Linked DNA regions of Drosophila melanogaster. The protein of the gene in region 3 purifies or fractionates together with the protein of the main gene of each other region. This does not show direct contact. Each region holds a gene or a part of one and is shown on either strand. Other genes may lie near its edges. The genes, in order: hiro, pps and CG7239.

What was found.
Region 1: the proteins of CG7239 (region 3) and hiro purify together in Drosophila melanogaster (affinity purification with mass spectrometry, with the first as the bait; one large-scale study listed by BioGRID). This does not show direct contact.
Region 2: the proteins of CG7239 (region 3) and pps purify together in Drosophila melanogaster (affinity purification with mass spectrometry, with the first as the bait; one large-scale study listed by BioGRID). This does not show direct contact.

Annotation. Positions count from the first base shown.
Region 1 is NT_037436.4:685,350-689,712, reverse strand, and holds hiro (highroad), read left to right. Parts: upstream 1-1,754; 5' UTR 1,755-1,844; coding exon 1,845-1,911; intron 1,912-2,340; coding exon 2,341-3,132; intron 3,133-3,185; coding exon 3,186-3,371; intron 3,372-3,426; coding exon 3,427-3,722; 3' UTR 3,723-3,771; downstream 3,772-4,363. Other genes in the region: CG32483 (uncharacterized protein), read left to right, coding at 1-539, 593-778, 833-1,128.
Region 2 is NT_033777.3:12,411,819-12,419,874, forward strand, and holds the start of pps (protein partner of snf), read left to right. Parts: upstream 1-2,009; 5' UTR 2,010-2,338; coding exon 2,339-2,468; intron 2,469-2,533; coding exon 2,534-2,938; intron 2,939-3,052; coding exon 3,053-4,770; intron 4,771-4,829; coding exon 4,830-5,311; intron 5,312-5,399; coding exon 5,400-5,574; intron 5,575-5,629; coding exon 5,630-6,157; intron 6,158-6,222; coding exon 6,223-8,056. Other genes in the region: Dip-C (dipeptidase C), read right to left, coding at 90-1,565.
Region 3 is NT_033779.5:5,800,431-5,804,650, forward strand, and holds CG7239 (uncharacterized protein), read left to right. Parts: upstream 1-1,789; 5' UTR 1,790-1,974; coding exon 1,975-2,282; intron 2,283-2,341; coding exon 2,342-3,413; 3' UTR 3,414-3,600; downstream 3,601-4,220. Other genes in the region: CG14005 (uncharacterized protein), read right to left, coding at 440-1,178, 1,242-1,456.

The DNA.
Region 1 (4,363 bases), on a different chromosome or scaffold from region 3:
CCTCTTTATTGACAACCCCGTAGGCAGTGGTTTTAGCTACGTGGACAACACGGCCTTTTACACGGCCACCAATAAGGAGATCGCTCTAGATTTGGTTGAGCTGATGAAGGGATTCTATACCCTGCATCCAGAGTTCGAGGAGGTGCCGCTGCATATATTCTGCGAGAGTTACGGTGGAAAGATGGCGCCGGAGTTTGCACTCGAACTGTACTACGCCAAGAAGCGTGGTGAGGTCAAGAGCAACCTTACCTCGGTGGCTTTGGGGGATCCATGGACCTCGCCCATCGACTCCGTGCTCGCATGGGGACCTTTTCTCAGAGAAATGGGAATCGTGGACCACGCGGGATACAATGCCATTCAAGAGGCAGCGAACTTCACGGCTCAGTTGGTGGAGGAGGAGCGATGGATTCAGGCCACCTATCAGTGGGGCAACACCCAGTGGGAGGTGATGAAAGCCTCCAAGGGTGTGGACTTCTACAACGTGCTGAAGGAGACAAAGGGTGGTCTCTACCAGAGATCAAAGGCCTTGACCTCCGAAGGTGAACCAAATACTTCGATACGATATTTTTCAAACCATGATATTTCCCTGCAGAACGTCTGTATCGCACCATGGTGAAATACGATATTGATGAGGATCGAACCAAGTTACTGGAGGATCTGATGCGGGGCCCGGTGGCGGAAACCCTGGGTATACCTTCGAATGTCATCTGGGGATCGCAGAGTGGGACCACTTTTGACATCCACAGAACGGACTTCATGAAGCCAGTCATCCACATTGGTAGGGATATTACTTCTTATATAACGAAAGCGTCTGACATCCATTGAATGACAGTGAACGAATTGCTGGAGAAGACTCCTCTGAAGGTCGGCGTATTCTCCGGTGGCCTGGATTTGATTTGCGCCACACCGGGCACCGTCAACTGGATAGCCAAGCTGGACTGGAGCCGAAAGGACGAGTACCTGGCTGCTCCACGCAATGGCATCACGGTGGATCGCATCTTGGAGGGCTATCAAAAGACGGGCGGTAACTTTACCATGTTCTGGATCAACCGAAGTGGTCACATGGCTCCGGCGGACAACCCTGCGGCTATGAGTCATGTACTTCGAGAGTTTACCTCATTTGGCTAAATTCATTTAAATTGAATTATAATAAACTCAGTATGCAAGCCAGTTGTATACTATATTCGTCTAAAAATAGAGGAGTGTTTTACTGAAAGTATATAATGTAAATCGTAATGGATTTTTTGCTTATAGAAGCTGGGGAAGTTATCCTATTAGTTATTTTGATAAATGTCAAATGTATGTCTTAATCTGCTCTTTAAAAAGCAATGCCCAGAATTGATGCATATATGATTATATGAACACCTAAAAATAATATAGTCAATCAATCAAAGAATGCTGATGATTTAAAAAGAGTTTTTGGGAGACACCTTAGATATCTTTCACGCATGTCACGTGGGATAAACCGCAAGTGATACCGAAAAATAATAGGAAAAGCCCTCGGAAAACCCACTCAAGATAGCAAAGTGCAATCTTTGCGATGATTTTGGAGCTTCATAGGCTCTATCTAAATATATGACACAAAGATTCGGCAAATCGGACGAGTGACAAGCACAGATTGACCAAAAAGCCGCGTCACCGTCCAGCGAAGGGCCATAAATACTCTGCAAACACAGTTCCCCTGCCCGCAGATTACGAATTCCAGGTGTGTCAGGTGCTGGCTGTTGCTATTTTACCTTCGATGTCTGGGAGCAACCAGCGATCAATTGGCAGTGGAACTGCCAAGTGTGCGGTTGTCTCTCGATCGGTGTCTCTTGGAATTGGAACTGAAACACTGGTGCAACATGGCTGGACGCGCTATCATCGCACTTTTGGCCCTACTGGGATTTGCCGGCTTGGCTTCCGTTGACGGTGAGAATCGTGATTTGTATTCCAATTAGGGGTGCTAATCAGTGAGAAAGTGTTCCAAAACAAACGGTTCTTTACGACTTGTAGAACAGGCCAACAGAATTATCTGTTACAGACTTTTTTACCTACTTTTATATCCGTAGATTGAAATACTTATGAATCGTTTGGGGACAGACCTTATTACCATTGTAAAAGATACAGTGACCAACCGCTATTCGGTTTGTTATAAGACAATACAATCAACTATCTACACTATCTATAACAATTAATCTTATCTAAATGGCTACTCGTGCAGCCGTTTAATATACTTAAAGGCTAGATTTCTCAAGTGTTCCCTAGAAATCAGGGGCTATCATGAAATTACAAAATCAAAGAGCTTTGTATATTAATAACTATTTAATCGAAATGAGCTATAATTCAATATACTCTCAGCACGCAAGGGCTATGGACCCGGTGATCAGGATTGGGGATTTGTGGATGTCAGGACTGGCGCCCACATGTTCTACTGGCTGTACTACACCACCGCCAATGTCTCCAGTTACACGGAGCGTCCGCTGGCCATTTGGCTCCAAGGAGGTCCAGGTGCCTCCTCAACGGGATACGGAAACTTTGAGGAGTTGGGTCCCCTGAAGCTCGACGGCAGCTACCGCGACTGGACTTGGGTGAAGGACATGAACGTGATGTTCATCGACAATCCCGTGGGCAGTGGTTTCAGCTACGTGGACGGATCTTCTTACTACACGACCAACAACAAGCAGATCGCCCTGGATCTCGTTGAGCTGATGAAGGGCTTCTACACAAACCACCCGGAATTCAAGACTGTGCCGCTGCACATCTTCTGCGAGAGTTATGGCGGAAAGATGGCCCCGGAGTTCGCTTTGGAGTTGGATTACGCCATCAAGCGCGGTGAGATCGAGAGCAACTTTGTTTCGGTGGCCTTGGGAGATCCCTGGACCTCACCCATAGACTCTGTGCTCTCGTGGGCTCCCTTCCTGCTGCAGTTGGGAATCGTGGATCAGGATGGCCATGACAAGATTGAAGCTTCGGCCCTGAAGACTAAGGACTATGTTGACCGCGAGAAGTGGACACAGGCCACTTTGCAGTGGAGCTCCACCCAGTCAGTGGTGCTGCGCGAGTCCAAGGGAGTGGACTTCTATAACGTGGAGACCCCAACATTGGGTGATCAGTACAGGTTGATGTCCAGAGCTGCCATGACTCCGGAGGGTAAGATCCGTTGCGTAACTTACCGAGCTGATTCTCATCAACCACTTATCCAGAGGTCATGTATCGCACCCTCGTGAAATTCGATGTGGATGAGGACCGCGACAAATTGCTGGAGGATCTAATGCTTGGACCCGTGACCGAGGCCCTCGGAATCAACACCGGAGTGAAATGGGGCGCCCAGAGCGGCACCACCTTCACCAAGCTGATGGGCGATTTCATGAAGCCAGCTGTGGATGTTGGTATGTTTCAACCGTCTGGGTGCTACCTCAAATTATAGCCTTATGACACTTTTAGTGGGTGAACTGCTGAACAACACCACCGTAAAAGTGGGCGTGTTCTCCGGAGGACTGGACCTGATTTGCGCCACTCCGGGAGCCGTCAACTGGATCGAAGCAATGGAATGGTCCGCCAAGCCATCTTACCAGGTCTCTCCGCGCGTGGGAATCACCGTAGATCGAGTTCTCGAGGGTTACGAGAAGACCTATGGCAACTTCAGCATGTTTTGGGTCAACCGGGCTGGTCACATGGTTCCTGCCGATAATCCCGCGGCCATGTCGCACATCCTGCGACACTTCACCAAATTCGGTTAAACAAATTAGCCGGAGAAAAGCGTTAAAATAAAGATTATTTTCGAAATGTATGGACTCGTGGGTTTCCAATTGGTGGTGGTTCGATTAATTTAAATTAAATATTGATTACAATTCGCAAAGACTTTATAGTTATATTTTACAGTGCAGTTAGTTGCAGATCTTGTGAAATCAATTCATTCTTAAACTGAAAACAAAATACATACATACATATGTATGTTCTCATTAATCTTACTCTACTTAAAAAGCGATCGCCTGCAGAGTTGCCACATGGCGAAAGTAACAGTAAAGTTGTCGCATGCGCAGTTGCACCCTCTCAGCTGGTCACACGCACACACACTCTCGCACACGCCGACTTCCCTTCCGTTCTAGTTGCCCACGTTGCGCATGCGAGAGCGAGAGAGGGAGCGAGCAGAGAATGAAAACTGCGCGAGATAACGCGGCAGCTATTTTTGTATGGGTCGTCGTCTAGTTCGCACGGACATCGGAAAATACGCAAGGTGCAGCGCACGGCCAGTTGGAAAATCACAATCAGAAGACAAATCGAGTGCCTAGGAAGAGAAAACGAAAGCGAATAGAGCCAAAGCGCATTGAAAGGCCAAAGAAAAGCGAGAAAAGCAGTGACGAAATGATTTGAATTCGCT
Region 2 (8,056 bases), on a different chromosome or scaffold from region 3:
GACCTTATTTATTTATTGGGTATTCCATAATTTGATTATGATACAGATTATATTACATATGTTTACGCGTGGAATATAGTTTAAAAGCTCTAAACCGGCGAATCATATTTACAGGTCATGGTTGCCTCGATGTCCTCCACCGTTCGCGGCACAATCGCAAAGTTCTCCACGCCAGTCTTCGTGATGAGCACATCGTCCTCGATGCGCACACCTCCGAAATTCCGGAAGCGATTGAACATCTCTGCGTTAATGAATTTAGCAATGTTCGGATCGGCCAGAGCGCGGTCCATCAGCCAGTTGATGAAGTAGCAGCCGGGTTCGATTGTGACATACATGCCGGCCTTAAGGATGCGGGCAAAGCGCAGCTTGCTCAGCCACGGTTCACTGGGGCGCTTGGGCTCCTTGGGCAGATAGCCGCCCACGTCGTGCACATCCAGACCGATCAAGTGGCCCAGGCCATGTGGCTGGAACACGCCCGAAACACCTGCCTCGAGCATCTCCTCCACATCGCCCTTGAGCATGCCGCCCTCCTTCAGGCGCTGCAGCAACACCCTGCCCGCCAGCTTGTGCATGTCCACCCAGGAGACTCCGTCACGGGCTGACTCTGTGACCGCATTGCGGGCATCCAGCACGGCATTGTAGATGAACTTCTGGTCGTCGGTGAACTTTCCATTGGCCGGGAATGTGCAGGTTATGTCGGCCGCATAGCCACAATAGTTGGCTCCCATATCGAACAGGCAGAGATCACCATCCTGGACGGGCTTGCTGTTGGGTGCGCCCGCGTGTCCATAGTGCAAGATCGACGAGTTCGTTCCGCTGCCGCATATGCAGGTGTAGGAGGCATGCCGGCAGCCGCCCACGGAGTAGGCGTGGTGCAGGAACAGGGATTCGCCCTCAAATTCCATTCTACCGGGACGCATAAACCGCATCACCTTGATGTGCGCGTCCGAGGATACCTTGGCCACGTAGCGCAGCACCTCGATCTCTTCGGGTGACTTGATCACTCGGCACTCAGAGAGAATTGGATACAGCAGATTGCAGTCAGTCACATACTTCTCCTTGCCAGCAAAGTCGGGCGGCTGAAGGGTGAGCCCGCTATCGCTGTTGGTGCCACTCAATGTGAGTATCAGCTTGGGCGACGCCCCCTCCAGATAAACACTCATTTCGTCAACATAAAACACCTCGTCCACCTCGTACATGGCCTTGAACTCCTGCAGCCCAAGCAGTTCGCCCATCCAGGTGCCGTACTCATCGGGAAAGCGAGGAACAAAGAGAACACTTTTCTGTGCACCAGTTTTCACATCAATGGTTAGGATGCCGTAGCAGCCCGGCTCCTTGACACCGAACAAGTACTGGAAATAGGACTCCTGCCGGAAAACGTAGTCCACGTCGGTGTTGTACAGGCTCTGGTCCTTGCCGCCCTCGAGGAGCACCAGCAGGTTGCCGTCGTTGAACTTGAGGCCCGGCAGCAGCTCCTTAAGGATGGCCTTGCCAGCACGATCCCTGTTGTTCCGGAAGAGGGTCATGGGCACTGCGTAACCCGATCCCATCTGAAAGGCGGCCATGGTGTTGCGACGGAGGACAAAGTTTAACTGGCGCTCTGGACAACAATGAGTGCTCGAGCAAGTGAGATTAGCTGATAATAGCCAATAACCGGGCTAACAAAGGCAGTAAATTATGTGGGTTTTATCAGTGTTTTTTGTTTTCTGTTTTCGCAAAAGTATGACCGAGAACTGAACGCGAAAAAAAACAAGCTTAAATTACAATTCATCGATCGGGAATTTTATTTTTTTAAATATATTCTTTAATATTTTTAATTAGCTCAATTCATTTATTTATCATACGGTTTTCCTTTTTGGCAGCCGACCTTGAAAATAAAGGATTTCCCTAAATAAACACAGATTAACATTTTGTTCAAATGAGCTAGCAATTGAAACTAGTTCCGCAGAGCGAGGCACAGAAACTATCGATAACCTACAGCATCGGCATCATTCCCAAGTCTGGTCACACTGGAAGTGGCTTTTTTTGCAAATTTTATTTTCATAATTGAGAAAAATTTGCATTTTAAAGCGAAACAGCAACGGATTAAGCTCTCGAATCTCAACAATATAACAGCCAGCTTGTGGGCGCAGCCAGCAGAGCATCACCAGTATTAAGTATAGGGCGAACGCAGCCCAGTGACCGTTTTCCACCTACTATCCAATTTCAATGTCGGCGTCACAACGCGGCGGATGCAACAACAAATGAGTCGTTGTTCTGTTCCAAGCTAATTAAGTACACGCTGTGTGGGCCGCCGACTCCAATGCGCCGCTAGCGGGGATCACGAGCAGTTGGCGTCATGTCCAGTTCGGTGTTTACGGAGGCGCCCAGCGCCCGGCCGGCGGCAGCCGAAGCCGACTCCAATCTGGTTGTGGTCTACAGCAAGAGCGGAATCTCCTTCGACGAGCGTGCGATTGGGAACATCATGGGTAAGTGGGTCCAATAGGCCTGACACACGCTCATTGCTCCCCACACTGACATGGGCTTGTTGCAGAGGAAAAATCGATTTCCACCATTAGCGTGGTGCGGATTACATCGCCCACGCCGAGCATGGTGGACCAAGAGGAAGACGAACGGCTGGAGGAGCTGGCGAACTTTATGGAAACTGCCACCGACTCGGAGCTGGACAGTGACAATGGCAGCCAAAGTGGTGGCGATAATGCCAGTGAGATGGATGAACACGACGAGGAGAACCATAACACCGGTGACGACAACAATAGCGACTCCACGGAGACGGAAGCCGATGCCCCGCGCACACGCAAGCGAGTTGGCCGAAAGCCCAAGGCCATCAAAAAGCGAAAGCGACGCAAACCCAAGGAGCGTCCACAAATTGTGGGTTTGCGAGTGGAGCAGTTTTATGCGGACAACACGGCTGATATGGTTGTGAAAAATGCACTGAGTAAATAACGTACATCGATGTGGTCCAAATGATAAAGCAAAACAACATCATTATTTCGAGCACAACGAAAGTAAACGAACTTTAGCTTTCAACTAATTTGTATTCTATTTACAGAGCTTGCCGGAGTTTCCGTCTACAAAAGGACTGCGGAGACAGACGCTCTTATGGAAGTTATTCGAAATGACCACAACTACACACCGTTTACCTCGCCAGAGCAGCTGAAGAACCACAAGCGCGATGAGAAGATGGCCATGGAAATGCAGGCCCAAAGCCGCAAAATCATAATGCAGGCACCGGGCAGTGTCAAGCTAATCAATGCCAAAAAACGAGTCCAGGCCATACCCTTAAGCCCGGTGCAGGTCAAGGTCCAGAGACTGCCAGTCAAGCCCCACCAAGTTCAGCAGGCAGCGCAGCTGCAACCGAAAGTGCAGCTGATCCGCAAGCCCATCCATTCGCCACTGCCAAGACAGAAGCCAGAGATTATCGCGAACAATTCGGTCAATGCCAGGCTGAGGCCCACTCGTGCTCCAGTCAAAGTGATTGCTCCGCCTGTGCAGGAATACATCGAAGATGATGATGACGCCCAAAGCTCGGATTCCGCCGAAGAGGAAAATGCCGACAAGGCCTATGATTCGGAGGAAATGAGTGAGGAGAGCGATGAGTTCCAGGAATCGGACAACGACAGGGACAGTGACATGGACTTCGATATGAGGCATAGCAATAGACGTAATCCGAATAAGAGGAAGCGGGTTAGAAAGGTGGTTAGGCAGACTCCCAGCAAACCAATGAAGCCGCTGCCTCCGCCACCCACAACGCCGCAGCACTTCCCCGAGCTGAAGAAACGCAAGGAAGTTTTGGAGCCGAAGGCGCCGCAAATTGGGCAAATAATCCAGATGCCTGCCACAAAATCAGTGCCCGCAGTGTTTGCCCTAGGCAGAGGTCTTCCAAGCACATCGTTTCTCAAAATCCGGCCCACACATCAATCGCTGCCTGTGAAGAGACCTCCACTGCCAACGACACCGGCCAATTCCAATGTTCGTCGTATGCCTGCCGTGCAATTGGGAAGGATCGTAAACTCGCCGCAGGAAGTTAAAGAGATTATTATCAACAAGAATATGGCCAGTCCCAAAGGAGTGTTTACCAATCTCAACACTTTGCTGGGTGAGGACAACAATGCAGCCACAAAATCTTCGCCAGTTCCACTCCGACACCGGGCCGTCATGTCGCCAAGCACGCCGAGATCGAGCTACAATCAGCAGATGTCGCCAATTGTGGTTCCGGTTCCTGCTCAGGCACATACCCCATCCAAGGGCTTCATGCCCATCGGCGTGGACACAGCTCAGTCGCATAAACTGCCCGCCCAAATAGTAATCGAGACGCACCAGAGTTCCTCCGAGCTGGCAGCAGAAAATGACAAGCAGCTCGATCTGATCAACTCGATTGTGCAGGACGAGCTACTTAAGTCCACGCTTGTGGAGCAGCCGGTAGTAAATGCGGACGAGGATATACCGAAACTGGTTAAGATGCTGGAGAGTACAGCGGCGGATCTAGATCCGCCACCAGTGTCCTTGCCTACGAATATTTTTCCAGCTCCCGAGATGCAGGGAGTGGGAAATGCAGCTGCAGCCGATCCGAATAATATAATGGATACGGCGAATGAGGATGAGATTACAGCTGATTTTCTCCAGCACGTGGTCGGTCTCATCGAGGAGGACAAACAGTTTGAGGCCGAGGTGGTTAAGCAAGTATTGGCTAGTACAGAGCCCGGAACCCTGGACGCCATCGTATCTATGCCTACGTCCATTGAGCCCGTAGACGTGCCGCAAGTACAGGCAAGTGTAGAATATCCTGGTTATTGATTTTGCTAGCTAACTGCATTGCTCCTTTACAGGCACACACGAACCTACTGCCGAATGCAAGTCTTACGGAGCCCGCACAATCGATGACCTCATTGCCGATTGCCTGCAGTACACCCTCGAGGAGCGTGGCAGCAAGCACTCCGCCCACCTCCGCGAAGGTTGTGCGCGGCTACGGTCGGGTCATATACCTGCCTCCCATTGAAGCCCCCACCACGCGGGCCAAGCGACGAGCACAGTTTCCTTCAGCTCCGGGCATGGCTGCGACCAGTTCCAGTGATGCAGGCAACCTGTCGTTTGGTGAATCTTCGTTGGATGCGAGCATCAATCAGCCGCTCAATACCAGCAGCCTGAGCAATGACAGCCAGCCGGGAAGTGGGCCGAAACGACCCAATCCTAGAGAGCCATCGATGGCCAGACGTTCAACGGCACCCAGAAGATCAAAGAAGCTTGATGCAAGTCAGAACAATGATCCCGACGCTTCAGAGTCTCAGGAGGATGACGATGACCCCAACAAGTAAGATTATAGTTGGATATTTCATAGATGCAAATCTGTGCGTTTGTTGAAAACCTTTTTTGTTTTTTTTTTTTTTTTTTTGGTTTAGGCTCTGGTGCATTTGTCGTCAGCCACACAACAATCGTTTCATGATCTGCTGCGATTTGTGCGAGGATTGGTTCCACGGCACATGCGTGGGGGTGACCAAGGCGATGGGCACAGATATGGAAAACAAGGGCATCGACTGGAAGTGCCCCAAATGCGTTAAAAGGCAGGAGGAGAGGGTAAAGTCATACAATAGACATAAAGTTACCTTTTATTGATTCGTTATCTTTGTAGAGCCAACCACGAATAACAGACATGTTGGTCACCAGACCAACCACTCAACCTGAGCAGAGGCCGAGTGAAACCAAAGTACTAACTACGACAGCAGAAATTGTTCAGGTCGCGGCTCCTTCGGCTCCCAGAAGAACACTACCGGTGGTCTTAACTGTAGCCAGTTCCCCCATGCGTATTCCAATGGCAAAGCCGGCCAAAAAGTTCCCAACCGGTGCAATCTCTCACCAGCAGCAGCAGCAGCTGAACTTTATCAGACTGGGCCCATCACCTGGCAAACGAATTTCGGAGACGTTATGTGTGGTCTGCAAGCGACCGGCGAGCACCTCTTCCGTCTATTGTGGCGAAGAGTGCATCCGGAAGTATGCCCAAAGTGCAATTCAAGCACATGCTGCTACCAAAGGCCCATTGCCACAGAATGCCGGTGCTCAGTCTTTGCTGAACAACTCCTTCGATGCCAAAAAGAACAAGAAGAAGGACTTGTTTGAGGACGTGCTGAGGCAAGCGGACACTGTGTCAAAAGTGGAACGGGTATGCAATAAAGGTTAATTTAATTAGAACTATACAACAAATAATGTGCACACTTTGCTTTGCAGATTAATGTGTTTGAGCGTAAAAGTGGTCGGGTTATCACCGGGCACATGGCCCCTTCTGCACATCAGTTTCGGAAATGGCTTCAGGAGAATCCCTCCTTCGAGGTGCTGCCCTCAGGAACCGTTCAGTCAGCCGACGCAGAGAAGCGTTTGCTGAAAGGGGCACCGGAAGCCGCCACCTCAACTTCAGAACCCGCCGTGCTAGGAGTTGCAAAAAAGCCACCTGAAGGTCCTGCCAAATTGTCCCATCCCCAAAACACCACAGTTCAGGCAAGCCACCAACTTGGAATCTCTTCCGTGCGTCCTTTGGCCAAAAAGGATAAAGAGAAGACAACACCTACAGTACAGGCGCCAACCCCTAATCGTATCGCAGCGGGCAAACCCGAGCCGGTTCGAATCGGCATCCGGCGATCACTCAGGGAGCAACTACTAGCGCGAATCAAAGAAGCTCAGGCTGCCGAGGAGAACTCTGGCCAGCCAACGACTCAGTGGCCGACCGTACTTGAGGTGGATCAGTTTGTCAAGAACGTGGAGCTGGAAATGTTCAACTCGTTTGGCCGAGACGTGGGAGCCAAGTACAAGGCCAAGTATCGATCGCTTATGTTCAACATAAAGGATCGCAAGAACCGAACGCTTTTCGAAAAGATTTGTGCCAAGCAAGTGGAGCCCAGGCAGTTGGTGCGGATGACGCCGGAACAGCTGGCCAGCCAAGAGTTGGCCAAGTGGCGGGAGGAGGAAAACCGTCACCAGTTGGATATGATCAAGAAATCGGAGCTGGACTTGTTGGCATGTGCCCAAAACTATGTGGTGAAAACACACAAGGGAGAGGAGGTAATCGCCACCAAAGTGGATGTTACGCTGCCCGAAGAGAACGTTAGTGAAGCATCATCTATGGCGGACACAAAACAGACGTCGCTGGTCAGTGAGCCGTCTACCTCCACACTGGAACGTTCCACGTCCAGGGAAAAGGCGGGTTCATCGAAGGAAAAGCGACACAAGAGCCACAAGCATCATCATCGAAAGCGCAGTCGAAGTCGTTCCAATAGTCGGGGTCGAAGCGTCGATAAGCGCCATCGCAGGCAGCACAACGAAGGAGGAGAGCAGCCAGGCAGCGGGGAGCGTGAGCATAGATCGCGTGAGAAACAGAGCCGGGAAAGGGATGAGATCGTTCCATCACCCTTGCCCAAGAAGAGGGACGAAAACGACCAATCGCCGGTACCCAAAAAGACGGCGGAAAAGAAAACCGAGGCGAGTGCTTACAACTTGGTTGATCAAATTCTGGAATCGGAGAAAACAGTCGAGCAGGCGGCGAATCTAGGCAAACCAAAGCCGTCACCCAAGCCACTTCCAACGCTTCCGAGTTCTTTGAAGGCACCTGAGCCAATGGACAACTACTCCCGCTACTTGCACGGCCTGACGACGAGTTCACTGTGGTCCGGTACTCTCAAGATGATCGATTTGGCCGACTTCGAAATCGTCATGTACCCCGTGCAGGGTAACTGCCATCAATTGGGTAACCTGATGCCAAGTCAGATGGACGTAATCGGTCGCATAACCCGCGTTAATGTCTGGGAATATATCAAGAAGCTAAAGAAGAGTCCCACAAAGGAAGTGGTCATTGTGAACATATTCCCCGCCTCGCCCAGCGAAACGTATAAGTTTGATCTCTTCTTCGAATACCTGGACTCGCGTCAGCGTCTGGGCGTCCTGGGCGTGGACTCGGATCAGATACGCGACTTTTACATATTCCCCTTGGGTAGCGGCGATAAGTTGCCACCAGCGCTGCAGACCGCGGAGCCAGTTCCCTTCTACGAAGAAGCGCAAAGACCCAACACGC
Region 3 (4,220 bases):
ACAAGATATTCTGTAACAATAGAAATAATAGTATAGTCTATATAGTATAGTATATATATATAGTATAATAGTCTTTCATCTAATTTATTTTTTAGCCAGTTGTTTAGTTTTAGTTTTTTTTTTAAAAATGTAGCTACCATACAAGTTCGCCTCAAGACAATGTTTTTAATTTAAGACTAAAGACCGTATAGATTGATCTTTTGCACAGACGATTGTTCATACACATTACACTTATGACGCTAGAAAAAGAACGTTTGAGAAATTATAATATCTTCGGTTCGCTATGCTGCTGCTTTGTACGTCGAGTGAATTAGACATCTGTGTCTGAGAAAGGAACGAATTGAAAAACATACACAGGGTCGAGCGCCGCGACTCTATTCCCAACTTAAAGCTAAAGCTGTCATACAATGTCCTTACCACGTGGTGCTAGTAGTCGGGATCATGGTTCCAGCTTGATGGTCGTTTGCTTTATTAACGCCAGCACTGCCTCCTGCCGCTCCATATACGCCAGAAAGTTATGTTTCATGTCCAGGAACTGCTTCTCCTTGCGCACGAGCGACTGCAGACAGGCGTCGTTCTGCTGCTCGAGCAAACTGTTCTCCTTGCGCAGCGCCTCCACTATTGCCATTGTGATCTTGCCCGAGTGCGGCAGTATACTACGTCGCCCTCGTCTCCTTTTGCTCGCCGAACGTTCGGCGTCCGTCTGGCCACCGTTGGTGTGGCCTCCATATGGCGCATCCTCTGCCTCGGGCAGGATGTGGTTGGCAGGCGTGAGAGGCGACCGCTGAATGACACTTTCGGCAGTAGCTCTCTCCAGGTAGTGGCTAGCCGCGTTTTCCAGCTGCGTCACTGTGGGCTTGTATTCAATATTCACCAGCTGGTGGTGTTCGTCTGGCAGAGGCTCTGTCTTCACTACTGCGGGAACTAGGGGCTGGGCATCGAGGAAGGTGCATCCCTCTGAGTCGCGCTCAAATTTTAGCTGGGCGGGCGAAGTGTATAGCAGTGGCGGCAGGGCGGGCAAATCCACACGTGCTGTCGCACGGATCGTCTCCAGCACATTGCGGAAATGGAAGAGGGCGGACGACGGCCAGGCAGGACAGAAGAGGCAATCGATCAGCGCGTAGAGACGCCAATCCTTCGCGAAGTTCGCATTGCCCCCCACGCGATTGCGATCGTTCCTGCAGAGAAGTGGAAGGAGATATTAGCACTGTGAACTGACCCGAGCCGCTGCTGCGCCTCACAAATACTTGTTGCGGTAGCTGTTGATGCGCCGGCGAGCCTCCTGCTTATTGAGCCGAACTCCGTTCTGCTGCAGGCCGTGCGCGATTTCCCGGAAAATGGGCAGGTTGTCCGTGTAGGAGGGTATGGCATGCAGGTGCTCGCGCCACAGCCGCAGTAGCATGGCCTCCTCCAGCGACGTGTAGTAGCGCAATCGCAGGTGCTTCTGGCCGCTCATATTCCGGTCTAATTTCAATTTTGTGGAATCGTTATAATCCAAACATTTTCGTACGTGACCAAGGACCAGGCGTGGAAATACCAATAACGCTTGAGCGCGGCAGGCGCCAAAAAATACCATCAATGATTTAAATTTTCTTATAGAGCTATTGAAATCTGGAAAAGATATATCTAATATCTTAATAATTTTATTTCTTAATATTGGACTAGCCCCAAAGCCATTCTCCCAGCTGTAGTATATACATGATACTGATATGGTACTAAATGAAATTTATTATATTACTTATTTCAGGAAATTCGCTCAGGAATCTAGGCATTTTCGGCGTTCTCGCGCCGCAAGGTCACACTCTTCTGTGTATCAGAGCTGTTGTTGATTTTTTGTGCGGAAAAACTGCACTTGGCTTCAACCATTCTACCACAGCGTCGCATTGTGTAACTAGAGTGGAGATCGCATATCCAAAGGCAACGTTACAGGGATACATCTGCGGGAGCAGATCAGGAGCCGGTGCAGAGCAGTCGATGGACTACGAGAAGCTGGCGTTGAACGCGGGCGGAAGCGGCAGCGGTGCCGAGCAGGACTTAGGCATGTGCGGTGGTCAGGAGCTGCTCGATGGCAGGGGCAAGGAGAAGGCGCGTCGCTACTGGACGCCCAGCGAGGAGGAGCGCCTGTACGAGATCTGGGGACGCGACAACTGGCGCCTGACGCGCACCGGCAAGAACACCATCTTCTTTGGCCGGTGGGCCGAGGAACTGCGCGACCGGTTCGCCGTGGACGTGAAGCCCGAGGAGATCCAGATGAAGGTCAACCAGACCAGGGCCAAGTTCAGGTAGGTAACCGTTTAGACACTTTGCTATACCGGATTAACTGACTGGTTTCCCTTTTAAGGCAAGTCAAAAAACAGCTGCAGGCGGATCCTTCGAGCTATGCTACGCGCTGGAAGAAGTACGACATTATCAATCGCATCCTGAAGAACCTGCACAGGCCCAAGAACGCCGATCCGCTGCCGCCAGAGGCGCTGCTCAACAACCGCGACATGACACCGCCCCGGGATGATGCGTCCGCAGAGCAGTTGCAGCAGCAGCCACAGCAGCAATCCGTTCAGCAGCAGCAGCAGCAAGGCTTGGGACTGGCCAGTGAGCCAAGCACTGCCACCTATTACAATAGCAGCAGCAATAGCAATCACGGCAGCAGCCACAACAACAACACCAGCGGCGGAGTTAGCTTCAACACGGAGCTGTTTACGGACCAGTATGACGAGGTGGTCAAGCAGGAGTACGAGGACGATGAGTACCGCTCCATTCCCTTTCAGGAGCAGTTGCAACAGTATTCCCCAGCCGAGCCGGCTCAGCTGCTCGAGCTGCAGACGCCACAGCAGCAGCAACAACTGCAGCAGCAGCAGCAACAACAGCAGCAGTTCCAAACAAACTATGAGTCGCAATTTCAGCAGCAGCCGGCTCAATTCAATAACAACAGCGTTATTAGCACTGCGGCCACATCGACCGTCAACCATCAGCCCATAACGGCGGTAGCCTATATCAATAGCAGCAATAACACCATCAGCGTGGCCACAAACGCAAACGGAGGCATGCCAGCGCCGGTGCCCGCACAGGTATCGGCATCGGTTCCGGCTGCAGCTCCAGTTTCGACCACCAACAACGCCGTCGTTGGCGCCTCCCCCGTCCCTGTGCCACGGAAGCGCGGTCGTCCATTCGGATCTGTGAATCCCCCACACGCAGACTCGCTGGAGGCGCTCTACATGGAGGAAGTTCGGCGAAAGAACCAGCTGCTCTACGAACAAACCAAGATATGTCGGCAGCGACTGGAGCTGGAGGAACGCAAGGTCGACCTCATGCAGACCTTCTTCCCCAAGTGTCTTGAGCAGCAGGCGCAGATTCTGAGCCACGTCCTTCAGCTGCAGAAGCAGCATCAGCATCCTACGGCCCAGCGGCCGCAGTGAACTCCTTTTCCGACTTTTCATAACCTCAATTTTGGACCGCAGTGCACGAACACTGGTTTTCAGATACTGGATTGCTGCAACATGCCGCTTCGCAGGCTGATCGGTGCCACGAAACTTAACAAAAAACATGCAAAACTGTTTGTAAGATTAAAAAGTAAACTTAAATAATAAATATATTTAAATAACGAAAATCGCTGGATTATTGCTTTTTTTTTATCGATTTTCGAGTTTTGAAACCGAAGGGTTATATTTTCACAATCGATTTCTGCAAAGTTATATAATAATATTATTTGGAGCAAAGAATTTTATAATTATTTAATAGAAAAATAACTTAAAATCGAGGCACTGAGCACCAAATGTAAAATAACATTTTAAGATTAAACAGCGCTGAAAAGTATGCAACATTTTTATTAAAGGAGACTAGCATACACCCTTGTCAAAGACACTAGAATAGAATATTCTAGGGTCTTTGCCCTTGTGGATGGATTGTTTATGTCAATGTTTATAAAATCGGCAGGATCTTTAAAAGTGCATACAATTACAAAAAACAAACGATCTTCATCAAATAAAAATTGAAATAGGAATGCTAGATACTTATCCCATCTCAATCTTCTTCTTGAAGTTGAAAGAATATAGTTAGAAATCGAAAGTAAAAATCTTTGTTATCTTTACTTTTAAAGCCGTGAAGGTAGACGCCCTCCTAATGGCAAAATATTCTACATTCAAGTATGAAATCTATTTAAGAAGCTGAATTAGAGGGATTCGACTGTAAGATACTCACTACACACTCAAATAAAACGACTTGTT